Linked DNA regions of Stegostoma tigrinum. The protein of the gene in region 1 interacts with the protein of each later gene in a biochemical or structural test. Links are inferred from orthologs where the notes say so. Each region holds a gene or a part of one and is shown on either strand. Other genes may lie near its edges. The genes, in order: nr4a3 and homeobox protein SIX3.

Evidence for each region.
Region 2: the proteins of nr4a3 (region 1) and homeobox protein SIX3 form a complex in vitro, tested with the Homo sapiens proteins (3 studies listed by BioGRID). The link is inferred for Stegostoma tigrinum from reciprocal best matches to the Homo sapiens genes NR4A3 and SIX3.

What each region holds. Positions count from the first base shown.
Region 1 is NC_081355.1:90,009,285-90,018,040, reverse strand, and holds the start of nr4a3 (nuclear receptor subfamily 4 group A member 3), read left to right. Parts: upstream 1-5,590; 5' UTR 5,591-6,221; intron 6,222-6,623; exon of another isoform or gene 6,624-6,632; intron 6,633-8,756. UniProt on the Homo sapiens protein: Transcriptional activator that binds to regulatory elements in promoter regions in a cell- and response element (target)-specific manner.
Region 2 is NC_081362.1:70,385,936-70,394,300, reverse strand, and holds the start of homeobox protein SIX3, read left to right. Parts: upstream 1-5,202; 5' UTR 5,203-5,294; coding exon 5,295-5,977; intron 5,978-7,747; coding exon 7,748-7,940; 3' UTR 7,941-8,365. UniProt on the Homo sapiens protein: Transcriptional regulator which can act as both a transcriptional repressor and activator by binding a ATTA homeodomain core recognition sequence on these target genes.

The DNA.
Region 1 (8,756 bases):
GACTCACACATCAATGGGATTAACTCATGTTGTGCATAAGAAGTGAGTTCTGGAAGAACACTTTTCTGTTGGTGATTAAAGCTTAGTTAAGATAACGAACAAATTCTTATAGAAGAACATTACAACAATGCCCTCAAAGCTGCAATAACTACCTCCGCTCCAACCCCAACCTCACCATCAAACCCGCAGACAAGGGAGGCGCAGTGGTAGTATGGCGCACTGACCTCTAAATCGCCGAGGCCAAACGCCAACTCTCCGACACCTCCTCCTACCGTCCCCTTGATCAGGACCCCACCCCCGAGCACCAAACCATCATCTCCAACACCATTCATGACGGCATGACCTCAGGGGATCTCCCACCCACAGCCTCCAACCTCATTATTCCCCAACCCTGCACGGCCTGTTTCTATCTCCTTCCCAAAATCCACAAACCTGCCTGCCCCAGTCGACCCATTGTCTCAGCCTGTTCCTGCCCCACCGAACTCATCTCCACCTATCTGGACACCATTTTCTCCCCTTTGGTCCAGGAACTCCCTACGTACGTCCGTGACACCACCCACGCCCTCCACCTCTTCCAGAACCTCCAATTCCCTGGCCCCCAACACCTCATTTTCATCATGGACGTCCAGTCCCTATACACCCGTATTCCACATGCAGATGGCCTCAAGGCCCTCTGATTCTTCCTGTCCCGCAGGCCCGACCAGTCCCCCTCCACCGACACTCTCATCCGCCTAGCTGAACTCGTCCTCACCCTCAACAACTTCTCTTTTGATTCCTCCCACTTCCTACAAAGGGGGTGGCCATGGGCACCCGCATGGGCCCCATATATGCCTGCCTCTTTGTAGGTTACGTGGAACAGTTCCTCTTCCTCGCCTACACAGGCCCCAAACCCCACCTCTTCCTCCGTTACATTGATGACTGTATTGGTGCCGCCTCTTGCTCCCCAGAAGAGCTCAAACAGTTCATCCACTTCACCAACATCTTCCACCCCAACCTTCAGTTCACCTGGGCCATCTCCAGCACATCCCTCACCTTCCTGGACCTCTCAGTCTCCATCTCAGGCAACCAGCTTGTAACCGATGCCCATTTCAAGTCCACCGACTCCCACAGCTACCTAGAATACACCTCCTCCCACCCACCCTCCTGCAAAAATTCCATCCCCTATTCCTCCGCCTCCGCCGCATCCGCTCCCACGGTGAGGCATTCCACTCCCGGACATCCCAGATGTCCAAGTTCTTCAAGGACCGCAGCTTTCCCCCCACAGTGGTCGAGAACGCCCTTGACCGCGTCTCCCGCAACACAACCCTCACACCCCGCCCCCGCCACAACCGCCCAAAGATGATCCCCCTCATTCTCACACACCACCCCACCAACCTCCGGATACAACGCATCATCCTCCGACACTTCCGCCATCTACAATCCGACCCCACCACTCAAGCCATTTCTCCATCCCCACCCTTGTCTGCTTTCCAGAGAGACCACTCTCTCTGTGACTCCCTTGTTCGCTCCACACTGCCCTCCAACCCCACCACACCCAGCACCTTCCCCTGCAACCGCAGGAAATGCTACACTTGCCCCCACACCTCCTCCCTCACCCCACCCCAGGCCCCAAGATAACTTTCCATATTAAGCAGAGGTTCACCTGCACATCTGCCAATGTGGTATACTATATCCATTGTACCCGGTGTGGCTTCCTCTACATTGTGGAAACCAAGCGGAGGCTTGGGGACCGCTCTGCAGAACACCTCCGCTCGGTTCGCAATAAACAACTGCACCTCCCAGTCGCGAACCATTTCAACTCCCCCTCCCATTTTTTAGATGACAAGTCCATCATGGGCCTCCTGCAGTGCCACAATGATGCCACCCGAAGGTTGCAGGAACAGCAACTCATATTCTGCTTGGGAACCCTGCAGCCCAATGGTATCAATGTGGACTTCACCAGCTTCAAAATCTCCCCTTCCCCCAACGCATCCCAAAACCAGCCCAGTTCGTCCCCTCCCACCGCACTACACAACCAACCCAGCTCTTCTCCTCCACCCACTGCATCCCAAAACCAGCCCAGCCTGTCTCTGCCTCCCTAACCTGTTCTTCCTCTCACCCATCCCTTCCTCCCACCCCAAGCCGCACCTCAATTTCCTACCTACTAATCTCATGCCACCTCCTTGACCTGTCCGTCTTTCCTGGACTGACCTATCCCCTCCCTACCTATACTCTCCTCTCCACCTATCTTCTTTTCTCTGCATCTTCGGTCCGCCTCCCCCTCTCTCCCTATTTATTCCAGAATCTTCACCCCATCCCCCTCTCTGAAGAAGGGTCTAGGCCCGAAACGTCAGCTTTTGTGCTCCTGAGATGTTGCTTGGCCTGCTGTGTTCATCCAGCTTCACACTTTATTATCTTGGATTCTCCAGCATCTGCAGTTCCCATTATCTCATAACTACAGACAACTTGGTAATGCTGAAATACGGACATAGTCCTGTATGCAAGATGTGGGGAGTACCAGGAGTCAACGTCGCTGCTGCTGGCTCTACTTCCACAAAATAGATCAATAACTAATTAATTATCATAGATCGTAGAATCTCTAGTGCGGAAACAGGCCCTTTGGCCCAATGAGTCCATACTGACCCTCAGAGCACCCTACCCAGACCCATCCCCCTATAACCCACGGAATCTACACATCCCTGAACGTCATGGGCAATTTAGCATGGTCAATCCACCTAGCCTGCACATCTTTGGACTGTGGGAGGAAACTGGAGCACCCGGAGGAAACGCACAGATGATGTGAATGTACAAACTCCACACAGACAGCTGCCCAAAGGTGGGATCAAACCCAGGTCCCTGGTGCTGTGAGGCAGCAGTGCTAACCACTGAACCACTATGCCACCCATAATTAAATCTGAATGTGATTTTGTTAGGAAAGATCTTGTGGGACAAGTTCAAAGTAGGGCACTCAGCTGAGAGGTTAAAATTTGAAATCAAAACAGAAGCCTTCGCAGATTACACCTTGTTTGAAAAGAAAGAAAAAATATCTCACCTCAATTTATGAGGTGAATATTATTCTTGCAGAAATTGTGCATTTTCTGTTTTCAATCCTATCTTGGAATAGTGATTTTTAATCATTTGGTGCACATCAAAACTGGTACAATTTTCAGATAATCTTTCTACACTCCAAGTGACTACACTTCACCGGGCAGTTCTTTAGCTGCAAAGCACTTGAAGACATCCACAGGTCTTACAACAAATCTTAAATCATTTACACTAACCTAACAGTGTTACAATCATTAACTTTTCAGCATGACGTGAACTTTCTTATTCTGTAAGAGTGTTATGTAACTGCTCACATATGACTGCACGTGACCTTATATTTTTCTACTAACATGTTGTTGGTTGTCATCCATACCAAAAATCAGCAGGAAAAGAAAGCAAATAAAACTTAAATAGAAAATAAAAACAAATTATCCAACTCAGAAAATTACTGCAATATACTTACATTTAGGTATGATCATGATTGATGTCATTTGAACCACTTAGACAAGCAGCTTGCTGCTGCTCTCACGCCTCCAAAGAGAGTTCGGAATATAAAAGCAGAATTTATCATTTAAAGCTCAATACTGCTCATCTCTTCACCACACTGTTGAAATCTTGCCTTGCGGCAATCTGTACTAAATGAAGTGCCAAACTGTGTTGGCAATAGAAAGCAGTGACAAACTGTTTTGTTGGCTTTATCCATCAAGACATCCTATGGAAACTATACTCCTAGTTTATTAAGAAACATGTTTGGTGTTTTCTTAGTTCTGATGCTAGGAGCACATCTAGTGACATTCATTTTACTTTCCAAAACGTTCCCAAGGTATAAAAGTGGAATAGGCATACAATTATATTGAAATGCATTAGTTGTGCAACTTTTACACATGAAAAAATTGCAAGCATTTGTACTTTTTCAACAGTTTATTTGCGGATTTATTATTCATAAGTGCTGCAAACAGATCACTAGAGCAAGTCGCATAAATAGTGGGTTCAGAAATATAATGCTTCTTACTGGGGTTCATCTGTAGGGAAAGGGAAAGAAAAGCGTTTTTAAAATAATCTTTATAATAAAGACTACAACAAGCTGATCAGAATAAAACACTCGAGCGTTATACTCACCACAAAAATCTACAGCAGTTTTATACACACACGTGTGCAGTTTTTAGCCTGATGTAGAGCACATTTTGTAAAGAGATTATTTCTCCTTTAGGCCGTTCAGTGGGGAAAATACCATTCTTTTAATGTGGGGTGGATTTTTTTAAAATCAGGAGTAAAGTTTGTATAATGTAAACATTTATGTAAAATTGTAATTCCCAGAATAAAGGTCTAAACTCTGTTTTTGGAACGAAGGCCGGAACTAACCTCGTGCAGACTGCGTGCCTGCGTCATCAGACGTCTCCTGATTTTGAACACGCTCCTTTACGTAATCCGCGCGTGTGCGTAATAGGAACGTTCCCTTCCGTCTGCCTATTTATAAAGTGGAACAAGGGTTCACCACCTCCCTCCCTCCGGATCACTCATTCACCTGCCAATAGCCTCAGGCGCTGCGGTAAAGCTGCCAAACCGCGACGCTTCCTGAATAACACTCCCCACGAATTGGTCAACCGCTTAATGTAATAATGGAATTAAAACACAAACACTTTTTTTTCCAAACAAAAAATTTCACTTCAAAACAAAAAGCGGAACATCCCATGAAGCAACATCTAGAACGTAGTAAATCTCCACAGCATTTGAAAAAAATACGTAAGGCGTTAGTGCGTAATAAATTTGTGAAAGCAAAGGCGTTTTGGCAAAGTTACAAGAATGTGTCTATTGTTCAAATAATTAAATGGGTGGAATCTAAAACTTTAACATTCAATAAATTCCCCAATGTAAGATTTATTCCAACTTCCGTTTTCCAATTGCTTTCAAAAATAGGTGCATAGGTTTCCCAGCATTGAGACCAAGCTAATTATGTTTCAATAGTAGATATACTTCTGTAATAAAATGATAAAAACTGAACGAAGCATAATAACAAAAAGGGACGCGATAAATAAACATCAAACTGTACTACCGTTTAAATCCAAACACTCACATTTCCAAGTATTGTACGAGAATTCGGTTATCATAATGAAATTAACATAATCATTATTCCACTAGTCGCTGCAATCTGTAATTAGGTTACGTTAAAAAAAGTATTTCTGAACATTAACAAAACGAGATTGCTACGACTAAAAATACCTATCAACAACTATATTTGGTTTCACTGGATCACAAAATAGTTCCTAAAATAAACGGTACGCCCCAGAAATGAATGAGATCTGTGTTATCTCAATCGATGGATTGGCCCAGAGTTGCTAAATTTAGCTCCTGCTTGCGTCAATGACGTGCGTCAGCGGGGCGCTCTCACGCGCACAAGTTCCAGACCGCCCCCTCCCCGGCCGCGCCTAACTTCCCGCGTTCCTATTGGTCCACAATCACGGGGAGAGGGACCGAGGGGTGTGGTCGTGACGATCGCAGAGGGGAAGGGGCGTGGTGTTCCATCGCCAATGGCGCGAGACGATTGGGCGTCCAGATGCAATGACGCGCCGACGCGGGGTTCATAAATGACAATAAAACAGAGAGCGGAGAGCGAAGCGCACTGTTCTCTTTACGCTGTCTACCACTTGTGAGCGACCACGCCGCGGCTGTACACGCACGAGCACGGGGCGCGCGACCAAGAGCACAGCCCGAGACTGGGAGAAGAGCAGACACAATAAAAGCCAGCTGACGTGCCGTGCCGCCGCGTGACGTGACGGCCCGGCAGCGTCACAATTGACGTCGCCTGCATTCCAGCCGCTCTATGGAGATACCGGCGATCGTCCAATAGGAGAGTAGCTCTTGCCAATCTCCCCACCCACCTTCCCTTAAACATAAATGACGTTCACAAAGTGAGGAATCTGTTATCTGTCTGCACATAAACAAAGGCACATTGCAATCGGAGGAGAGACCTACAAATAGAAGGAGGGCTAAAGAAGACTTTCTCGCACTTTTCCTCCATTGATGAACTCGCATTAAGAGGAAGGATCCGAATCTGCACTACAACTAAATCATTTACCGGGAGTGATATTTTAAAGACAAGTTTCTCTGTACAATATCCATGATTTGGACTGGACGCCTCTACGCGGCTTGGACGGCTATTTGATTATATGTAAAAACGGAACCGTCACAGCAATCAAGTACGTATCAATCAGTTACTCACTGGACATCATGAAAGTTACAATGGGTATGCTCTCGAACCAGTGACTACAATTCAATGAGCTATAGTGATGTTTTGTGTGAACGCTGGTTGGAACATGCTTCAGAACTTGTGCTTTGATGCCTGTTCCTTGTGTCTTGAGAATTTATGGGTTAATCAGCGGCTTTGAGTTGTGTGACAATTGGAGATCAGCGGGTATTAAGGTATTTCTGGTAGTTGTCATGGTAATGTAATACTGCAGGCGCTGTGCTTGCAATGATGTGGTGAATAGATGCGATTTGTCTTGCACTTGTCTGGATGTATAATTAGCTACGTTCGAGTGAAAGTGTATAGTTATTTAGTGTCCATTTGACTTCACTGCAGTCGCATTTTGAAGGGGGTATGCTACTGAGTATGTTTTTAAGTTGAAATGCAGCGCGTTGGAATGGTATTAGTGTTGATTATCCGTCTGCACGTCTGTTCGCGATCCAAGCTAGGGATATTCGGAGTTTCAGTTAAGAAATAACCACGTCTAATTGCGCACTCTGATGACCTAACACGTGTGATCATTTAAGATGCTGGACCTAGTCTTGGCTTAAAATGCATTTTTGCAATTCTTTTATTAATAGTTTCACTTTCAGAAGCGAATCTGTTTTACTTTTTGTTCAGTAATCATCAGTAGTAGAGAGTGCGACACGTTCTCATACGTACATGTGTGTAACTGTGTACCTAGGTATTTACAATGGAATTTTCAACAGAATTGCTTAAAAGTGCGTTCGCACTTTAGTCGTGGAACGGGAATGTGCTCCGCGCGGGAGAGTAACAGTTCAAGCCCAAAATTGCCAGTGGAATGTATAAACCTCACTGTTCTGAGGCGGCGCCGAGCGAGGGGTGACTTGACACCGGCTAGTTTGTAAATTTGGGAAAGTTCTGACCACGGTCACAAGTCGATTTCGAAGGGTGATATCTGCTGAGATTTCTGTGAACAAAACCTCGCCGTAGCAAATTCTTACCTCTCTATAGTAAACTATAATCTTTCATTCCATCTTTCACTTAACCATTGCGGCGATTTTGACATGTTCCTGTGAAATTACAAAAATATTTCCTTTTTAGTGGTAAGGTGTCTGATATATGGCGTCTCCAATAATTGTCTGTACTGCCCTAACTAGGTTCGATCCTGACTTGTATAGCTGGTGCCAACAAGTGTTGCTGTCGAAACATCCAGTGCTCAGTGCATTGTGTCGCTTTAATATCATTAAAGCGTATCTCTTTTTCGTAATTTTCTTTATCTACCCCGTACTGTCATGGGCGATGAATTCCGACTTGAGTTGTCGCCGAAAGTGGTTGAGAGGAGAGTGGTTTTCTTCAATAAATTCACACTAAATTAAAACTCCCCACAGTTGATGTTCTGTCTGACTGTGTGTGGAAGATAGGGCGGCCGGTAATAAGGCGGATGTTTAAAGAGACATCGCATGTTCTCTAGGTAACCAGCTGATTTTGAGCATTCACCCCTCAGCGGGAATAATGTGCAAACGAGTTAACTGCGGAAGCTAAGCAACTTGGTTGTCAAATGTAGCCTTGCAAAACATTAGTTTTAATTAAAAGCGTGAGTCCACACAAGAGATCTTAATACTTAGACCACTTCTAAAAGTGAAACGGAAAGATATTCGGAAAACAGGTCTTTCCCTCTTGGTGCAAGATGTAAAAGTGTAAAGATGACCACGACACAGTGTAAACAAGAACTCGGCACTTCTGCAGGTTTAGGCTGTTTCTTCCCCAGCCCCTCCCTGTTTCTGTTCAGTGGAACCCCCGGGAGTGAAGTGGCTGTGACCATTTCTTTCCGATGGCAGGGACAGAGTTGTCCGAAAACGCCTTCTCTCTGTTTCCTACCTGACTCAACGCCAGAATAAAGCTCCGAAGTGTGTCTCGGATTATGAACGTCCGGTTAACTGTGACATTGTAGAACTGCATTTTCCAAGTGTAAATATAAACTTTCATGTTTGCGGGGAGTGGGGTACCCGAGATTAAAGGCAGCTGTTTTAGCCACGATCTCCAACTGGGTTATGACTAGTAGATCATATCACGTCTTATAAATGTCACAATAAAGGGGGCAGAGGATCATGACTTAATTCCAAATCTAAAACAATTTAATGTTGATTGTGAGGTAGCACCGTTTGAGCATTTTTAGGAAAGATCTGATCTACAAGCAACAGTTCAATGGAGTTTTCACTATGCCAAAACCTTCACACCGTTTTGAGGTTAATACCATTTCTGGGGAGTTAAAGTAACTTTATATAAAGTTTTTATCCCCCGAGTGGCAGACGGATTAAATGCATTTCAGAGGGGGCGCTGCAGCCCAACTGCTGGACTCCTTGAATTGGGCAAATTATAGCGCAAATGAATTGATCCGCCTTGAGCGTGCATTAGTAGAGCGCCAGGTGATCTCAAAGCATGTGGGCAAGTCCCGGTGTCCATCTTGACATCATGTGGGGCAAGTGTCATTGAACCTAATACAAGTGTGAATTGTCAAGACTCC
Region 2 (8,365 bases), on another chromosome or scaffold:
GTCAGGTTTTGGAATAAAACAACCAAAAAAGAAACCTTTTATCCTGGCTTCTCTGTCCCTCGGGGGAGCACTATACATTTGTTTCGAATAATTTACTTTAAGATTTGAAAAGACTAATTAATTTTTAAGTGCTAACCCAGTAGGGGAAGAGGCACAATGCCATACGCCAAAGGCAAGCAATTGGCAATCGAAAGGTTACCTGAATTTGATAGCAATCGAGCGGTTTATTCGGGAGAAAGTACGATGGGCATCTGCTTTGGGCAGCTCGAGGGACCGATTATATAAAGGCAGTTAAGTCAACTTTTTTTGACTAAAGCAGATTGAAATGTCAAGCCGACTGACCAATGAGCCATGATAGCACCATATGATATTATATTGGATTCAGTGCTTTTATTCCTGTAACTAATTCGTTTTGACACATACGCATAACCCGGTAGCAGGAAACCCAGCGTTCACCTTTCACCTCCTCCTCCTCCTCCCAGCAACTTCAGCCACCCTCGCACCACCGCCAGCTCCAGACCCCCTCCCCCGCCCCCACAAACAAAAACTGCTGGGTTTGCAGGGCTAGGACGTACATCTTTGTTCAATTCATTAGAAGTAACGGATTGACATAAGGTAAATCTACGGTAAAGCGCCTTTATTTCTTGCCTATGGAGCGACCTCATTAAATATCGCTAACAAGGCGTGCAAATCTCCTGATTGGACAGTCCTCTTGCAACACTCTGTCCCTTGCAGGGCGTGCACTTAATAAAGGCCACATGGAAAATAACTGGCAAGAAATTCCAAGTGTCCTTACAAACAGACTAGGAAGTCTTTCAACACACAATCTGATGCCTGCCGCCCTTCTCACTATCAACTGTGCATCCGGCGCTCAACTGAGGCAGCGACCGGTCGATTGAAACAGTTGTTTCAGCTGACACAGTTGTTGAAACTGCGAGAACAAATGGTTCCTTCTAACTCCCTAATATTTCCTTGTTTACATCCTTAAGCGTTCTTACACCACTGTCAACATATTAAGATTCAAATTGCAAATACCCTCACAGTTTTTTTTACGTTTTGCAGAGCGAACAATTCATTCTTTCCAACCTGTTCGCTTGGCGTATCCGCGTGATTATATTTAAACTATGACCAACTCTTAATGCAAACTTCGAGAAGCCAGCGGATTTGTAATGTTCACACACAGATCCTTCACTGTGATATATTGACGGGGGGTTGGGGGGTGGGGAAGACTGGTCAAGTTTGCATAGTTCCGGCGGTTAAAACTTCACGTCATTACCCCTTGGTCCAGATAGACCAGCGCAATTTCAAATTGGAACTTATCGTCCTCAATTCATAAGGGACGGTAAACGCCTCTGATGTTTAACTGTTTTTTGTTGAATCTTAGTGGATTAACATTAATGGCGCAGGTGGGGAGGTGGAATTGGTTTGCACTTCATTGGAACGACTTGCTGTAGACCCCAAATTTCCGAATACTGTGCTATTCACATCCTTAATTTGAACGTTTATGCAGAGAAAGAAACTCGGAATGGAAGAGAGAGCTGTCATGCACTTAACTACGCGACTACTTCCTGATTACGTAAAAGTCAGTGTGAAGTAAACCAGTACCCTCTTTGAACAATATATAAAGAAACGGTTAACAACGCCAGATAATAAATAAGATCTATGATTCTATCTCTAATATGAGGGCTACAAATTTTCAATATCATTCGAGTTTATTGATGCTCGTTTTTGGAGAAATTATATGCTCCATTTCGGTCTCCATTTAAATTAAAATAATTTGGTTGCATTTGAGCGGGTTCTTATCTGACTGCTTGTTTTTAATCAATCTCAGGTGCAAAGGCGATCTGATTTATCTGTGAAATTTACAATCCCATGGCCCAAAAGAATGAAGCCCATATAAATCCATGCAAACTATTGCTTCTAACCGAATATCATGTATACAGTTAACTCAGTTAAATCATGACGCAGCTACTGTAATACGAATGGATCAGGTACAATAAAATCAACAATGCAAGCAAAACTAAATAAAATCATGTACGCAATTCACTTCAGCATTGAGGATGGAGGACAGACTGTATTGGCAGTCGATAAATCTGAGCTGTTCGTGCCCCGTCTTGGCAATGAATATAGCGTCAAGCAAAAAGGCCCAGCGGAGCTCACATTTAACCGGCCACCTTAAAGAGACAAGGTCAACGCAGGAGGAAAGAGTAGAGGAAACAGTAGTAGAGGATGTAAAACAAAATGGAAATTTAACAAGTAACGCCAAACAAAACTGAACAAAGGCGAAAGTAAAGGGTCGAATCTATTTGCTACATCAATACCGATAATGGCGACATGACAATACCAAAAATAATCACCAATGAATAAGCCAATTCCCCACCTTGCAAGGGGTAACTAAAACGTCTCCGAAAGCATTACGTTATATATTGGATTAGAGAAGAGAACAACATAGAATAAGTTCAATCTTTGCAGCAGATTTATTAATAGTTAACATATTCTAAGTCAAATTAACCGACCCAACTGATTAAACTCATAAACGGCTTACTTTATGTATACAGAGCCAACATTATATGAACTGGCCCACACTTAGGTATCTTTTTCATGTGTAAACTTGCACGGTTGATCAAACAACGCTGTATTATAACGTTCCATGTAAATCAGTTAAATCTGAAAATGGTTTGAGATTTTTCACAATCCAACTTTAATCATACGTTATGCAAAGCAGTGAGACACAACGGCCTCAACAAAAGCGGAAATCATTCCAATAAAACAGAAACTTACAGGAGCCTGAAAGGCTTCTCCGGGGAAAGAGACCTGGACCTTTCCGGATGCTGATCTGTCACTTTGTATAATTGCAGCATTTCTTAATAATTGTGATTTTTGTTTCGCTATTGCTTTCTTTTCGGGGAGGATACAGTTGCACGAGCCGGACAGGGCTCAGAGCTTTGAATGAAGCTGTTTCATAGACGGTCACTGCTCCAAACGGCAGCGGCCAGCTGCCCGTCATTAAAAAGCCATTTACACCCTGTACTCTTCACACAAAGATTGAGCGAATAATTATGTGCTTGTAGCTTTACTATGTGAATGTCTCTCGAATAGGCTCTGAAAACAGCGCACATCATTGCTTTTATTCCTAGCACCTGCATTTGTATATACTATATAGACATCTATGTTACAGAGAGAGAAGGAATCATATTGTACATTTTCATCTTTTTCCTTTGTTTTGCGCGGGGCAGAAAATAAATGGCAACACCTACCATTCAAACTGATTTCTGTTCAGATACATTGATGACTGCCCGTAAGACTGTAGGATAGAATTTACTAGGAGTCCTCTTTTTAAAGGTGCTCATCTGTGGTGAGTGAAATTTCTGAAGCTTCCCGTATACCTGAAAAAAAGAAACAAATACATAAATGTAGATTGCCGCGGACTTCACAGGGTTAACCTATAGGGATATTAATCCAACATTTTAGAAGCATTTTCCTAAACTTTCCTTTCTCTCTTTTGTTTTGCGAAGCAATGAACGAAAATTAAAGTGATTATAAAAGTAGAGATTATGCTGCTAGAAGCTTGCCTCTTTCTATGTTTTCTCTGAATGAAACAATTTAGGGCATTTAAATGGGCGTAGATGATACTTTTTAATAGAAATCTACAGCGAATGTGTAATAGAGCATCGCCGTTTCCAGTTGAACAACCTTCCCAACTGGACCTATTCATGTGCCACTTGGAATTACTTCATGCGGAGTGCGCTATGACAGGACCGCAAACAGTTTGCAGTCCATTAAAGAACCCATACCACCCATTAGCGTTATTATCTTTGTGCACAGCAAATTCGCTCTCTGTTTCCCTTTTTAATTGCAATATCTTTTTTCACCGGGACCTGGAAAGCAGATTGGGTACATAACCGTTCGCCTCGCGATTTTTTTTCGAAATCCATTGGAATGTGGAAGAGACCAGAGAAGGAAAAAAGTTTTGAATTCTTCAATGATTTTTTTTACCCCGTAGAAAGGCGGCTTAGGATAATTATTTCAGCTTTATTGAGGGCAGATTAGTTGAAGTCTGGATGCTGCGTTTCAATACGCGTTGTACAATCCGGTACAATGTCTGTATTGTTCGCTACTGTGTGTGAACCCATTCAAAATATACACTTTTTAACACCAAGCAAAGTCGTGTCTAAATATACACAGTAAGGCTGGAAAGACATCCATGACCCGTACAAATCTTTGTAAATCACACTTCCATAGTTACAGAAGCCAAACAAAAAAGCCACCGGCTCAAGATGTTGATTAAACCTTCTTAAAGGCGAACATACCTAATGGTAGAATACAGTTGCACGTTAGCAACGGCCAGCAGAGCTCCCAGCACCAGGACCGATGGAATAAAAAAAATTAAAACGCAACGCGTTATTCCAGCCACTGAAAGCCAATGATTCAAACTGAAATAGTCTTTTTTTCTGGAAGAAGGGATATAAATTAACTTCTACCTGCAGTCTATCCACGTCCGGTCCATGGATCCCCAAATAGCCCTATCTGTGCGAAGTCTTTAACTCAAGCTGCAATGATGCACAGCCAGTGCCATGACGATGTACAGTGTTATTACTGCACGCTACACTTCAAATGGGCTTCGGATTGGCAATTATGCTATTAATTAACAAGAGTTATGGTCACGGAGAAAGCGCAGTGCTGAAGGCAGATTAAAAAATCTCCTTATACAAACACAGTCATGACATGTATATGGGTCTAATGATCTCATTTTTCCTTTATTCCCCAGCCCTATTAATGCTCATACCGGCAGAATGAAGTGAAACTACGTGCAAATCATGTCTAAACTGTCTCAGTGAGGAGCCCTCGATTCCACCGTGTCTTTTAGGCTGTCCCATTTACTTTCGCCCCGTCTTCCAACCTTAACAAGGTTCGTTAAGATCGCGGTAATATTTCCCATCCTCTAATTACTCGTCCCACTTAGCAAATCAGAGCGCGGAGGCTTTCACATTTGAACTTTTCAAGAGGTAGGTGGGCGACGCTGAGATTCATTTCAGATAACCCCCACGCAGTGCAAAAGTGGTGAAAGCCTCTACGTTCTGCTGGTTGATTGGCACGTTTGACAGTGATTGACAGCGGCGCCATGGCAACGCTACAACGACACCGCCAAGACCAATAGAAAAAGCGAAAAAAAAACCAGTGCTCCACACAGTATTTTGGGGATATAATATGAGGAAGTGTGACACTAGGCGATTTCGTTGCATCTGACACGTTTTTGTGTTTTTTTTTAATATTAAAAATCACCAAGTCAGTCCATGGTGTTCAGGTCCCAGTTCGAGCTGTATAGCGCCTTCCCCCTTCTACCAAACTCAGCCGAGCGCGCTTTTCTCCTCTTAGCCAGCTCCCGGCCCCAAGAAGAGTTGTCAATGTTCCAGCTACCGACCATCAATTTCACTCCGGAGCAAGTGGCCAGCGTCTGTGAGACGCTGGAGGAGACGGGCGACATCGAGAGATTGGGACGCTTTCTCTGGTCTTTACCTGTGGCGCCGGGGGCATGCGAGGCGATCAACAAGCACGAATCGATCCTCCGAGCCCGGGCGGTCGTGGCCTTCCACACGGGCAACTTCCGAGACTTGTACCACATCCTGGAGAACCACAAGTTCACCAAGGAGTCCCACGGCAAGCTGCAGGCGATGTGGCTCGAAGCGCACTACCAGGAGGCCGAGAAGTTGAGGGGTCGCCCTCTGGGACCAGTCGACAAGTACCGTGTCCGCAAGAAGTTCCCCCTGCCCAGGACCATTTGGGACGGCGAGCAAAAAACTCACTGTTTCAAGGAGAGGACGCGCAGCTTGTTGCGAGAGTGGTACTTGCAGGACCCATACCCAAACCCTTCCAAAAAAAGGGAACTGGCCCAAGCAACCGGTCTGACCCCGACACAAGTGGGAAATTGGTTTAAAAACCGCAGGCAGAGAGACAGAGCGGCGGCCGCCAAAAACAGGTCGGTGGGTTTTTTTTCCAGGTTACCCTTCTGCCAACTACTCAAATTGGCATGTAAATATTAAAGAAACTCAGGAAACCTTCATCAAAACGCAGTAAATAAAATCACGAGATAAAACGTTGTTTAAATGTTGCACAGCATTTTTTATGAATAAAGTAACATGCTCATCCAGAATGCTGACTGAAACAAAATAAAATCTCAGGGCAAACGTTTTAAGCAATTCAGCAAATGAACAAAATTACAGTGTAATGGTCAATATTGGGAAGGTGTTACTGGACGGTGTAAGAATCTTTTTTAAGAAATATTCGAAGTATCAGTTATAAAATAGGATCACAACTGACCACAGATTCAACAGTATAAATTCCATTAAACGATCACCAATCGCAATTTCATGAAAACAACATCTATAAAAAAACTTCTGTAAAATAACCCCAATTTGTGAAAGAAGCTCAAATTAAAGACAGTCTAACTAATAGTACAATTTACTGGAATCAATGAGAGAAAGTGATGCCTTTACTCACTATAGTGATGGGTAACGAGATAATTATTTGGACAAAATTTAACTTAAATACATTAAATGTATTTTTGTTTGGTTCAGAAACAGACTCAAGGTTTCCTGTAATGTCAATGGGCATAAATGTGCCTGGTTTTATGAAATGCTTTCATTTGTAGCCAAGAGAAATTGAACTATCAGAGAATGTGGAGTAACTTCCGGGAGACTGCAAATTCCTGCTTTAGGTAAAAGGACACACAAATCAACAATTGTTTACTCTCTCAAACCAAAGTAAGCACATTTGAATTGAGATGAATAACACGATCATCTTGCGCTCAGTCATTGAAAAATATGCAAACGCTATATTTCGCACCATGAATTGAGAAGTCCCATCCTGAATACAATGCTAGACCAGTCCACGACAATTGAAGTTCTTTGGATATTTGACTGAAGTTTATGTGCCAATGAGTTTGTCAATACTACTTTAAGCTTCTGAAAAGTTATTGGGTACCCACCTCAATATTTGAGATACCTTAACTCTTCAAATACGATAAAGACGGCGTACTTGGCGGGGGTTCAAACCAATAAAGGACATTATTTACTTTGCAGGCGATAGCAATATCTTTTTATCCAAAGTAAACACATACTGTTTGACTTGCTAACATTCAAAGTCTCTCTAAGCAATTCAAGTTAACATGGTAAATATCGCCAGAGTACAGTTTAAGCACAGGAATTGGGAATAACTTGAAGCATCGTTTTAGCAAGCGGGCTGCAATAAGATGCACCGATAAGACCGCATTCTAACTTGTCTTTCGAGGAGCACTTTCCCCAGCAGCAATACAATGAAACGCGCGCTAAACTTGAAGACAATACAGAGTGCAATTGTTACCAACTAAATACAGATTTCGGTTCGGTCAGTTTCTGAACATTATGCTAAGTGAAACCGACAAACAAATTGCAACAACAATGCTGATTGAACGGCCGTATCTGATATGTGAACTCCACCAAATTTTAAACAATTACTATTTTATTATTCTAAAAAAAGCTATTCGTGCCCATGGAACTCCCGATTATTGCAATTTTGCTGCATATTTAACGATGTTTAGTTTTTCAACAGTACAAGGTTTAAATTGCTTTTTAATAACTTTATTTGTTTCAGTGATTTCTTGGTCTTCCAAAGTAACGATCCATGAGGAATATTTAATAATTCTGTTTTGATTTGTGAATCCCTACCTCCCTCCCTCCTCAACTCTCTTTCTTTTGTTTGTCTCGGACAGGCTGCAACATCAGGCAGTGGGACAGAGCGGGGTTTGTACGCTTTCGGAGCCGGGCTGCCCTGCTCACAGCGCGGCGGAATCTCCGTCCACAGCCGCCAGCCCTACTACCAGCGTGTCGAGCATGACAGAGCGAGCCGAGACGGCCACGTCCATTCTCTCGGTAACCTCTAGCGACAGTGAATGTGATGTATGATACAAAAACAAAACAAACTCTTAATGCATTCACGAAGGACTATGGACCTGAGATTTAAAAAAAAGACATTTAATGAACATTTTTAAGAAAAAGAGACAAACAAAAAAACACATTCGTGAAGGAAAAAAAGTGACAGTTTAAAAAAAAATCAAATCTAAGACAAGCACGTCTGATCCAGCGCTTTCCATGGAGCCACCCGACTTGCATGATGTATTTTATATCTGGGAAAGTAATAATCTACGTTAATATTTTTTACAAGGATCTACAAGGAAGAGGGAATGAGAGAATCTTCGTCGCCTTTGTTGCTCTCTATAGTCCGAGTGCTGGTCAGACCCCCGAAGCCAGGCTGAGAGTCGTTTTTCTGTTCCGCAGACAATCATTTTTCGTAAGCACCTTTTTCTACACTTCTGTTACTGCCTGTGTGG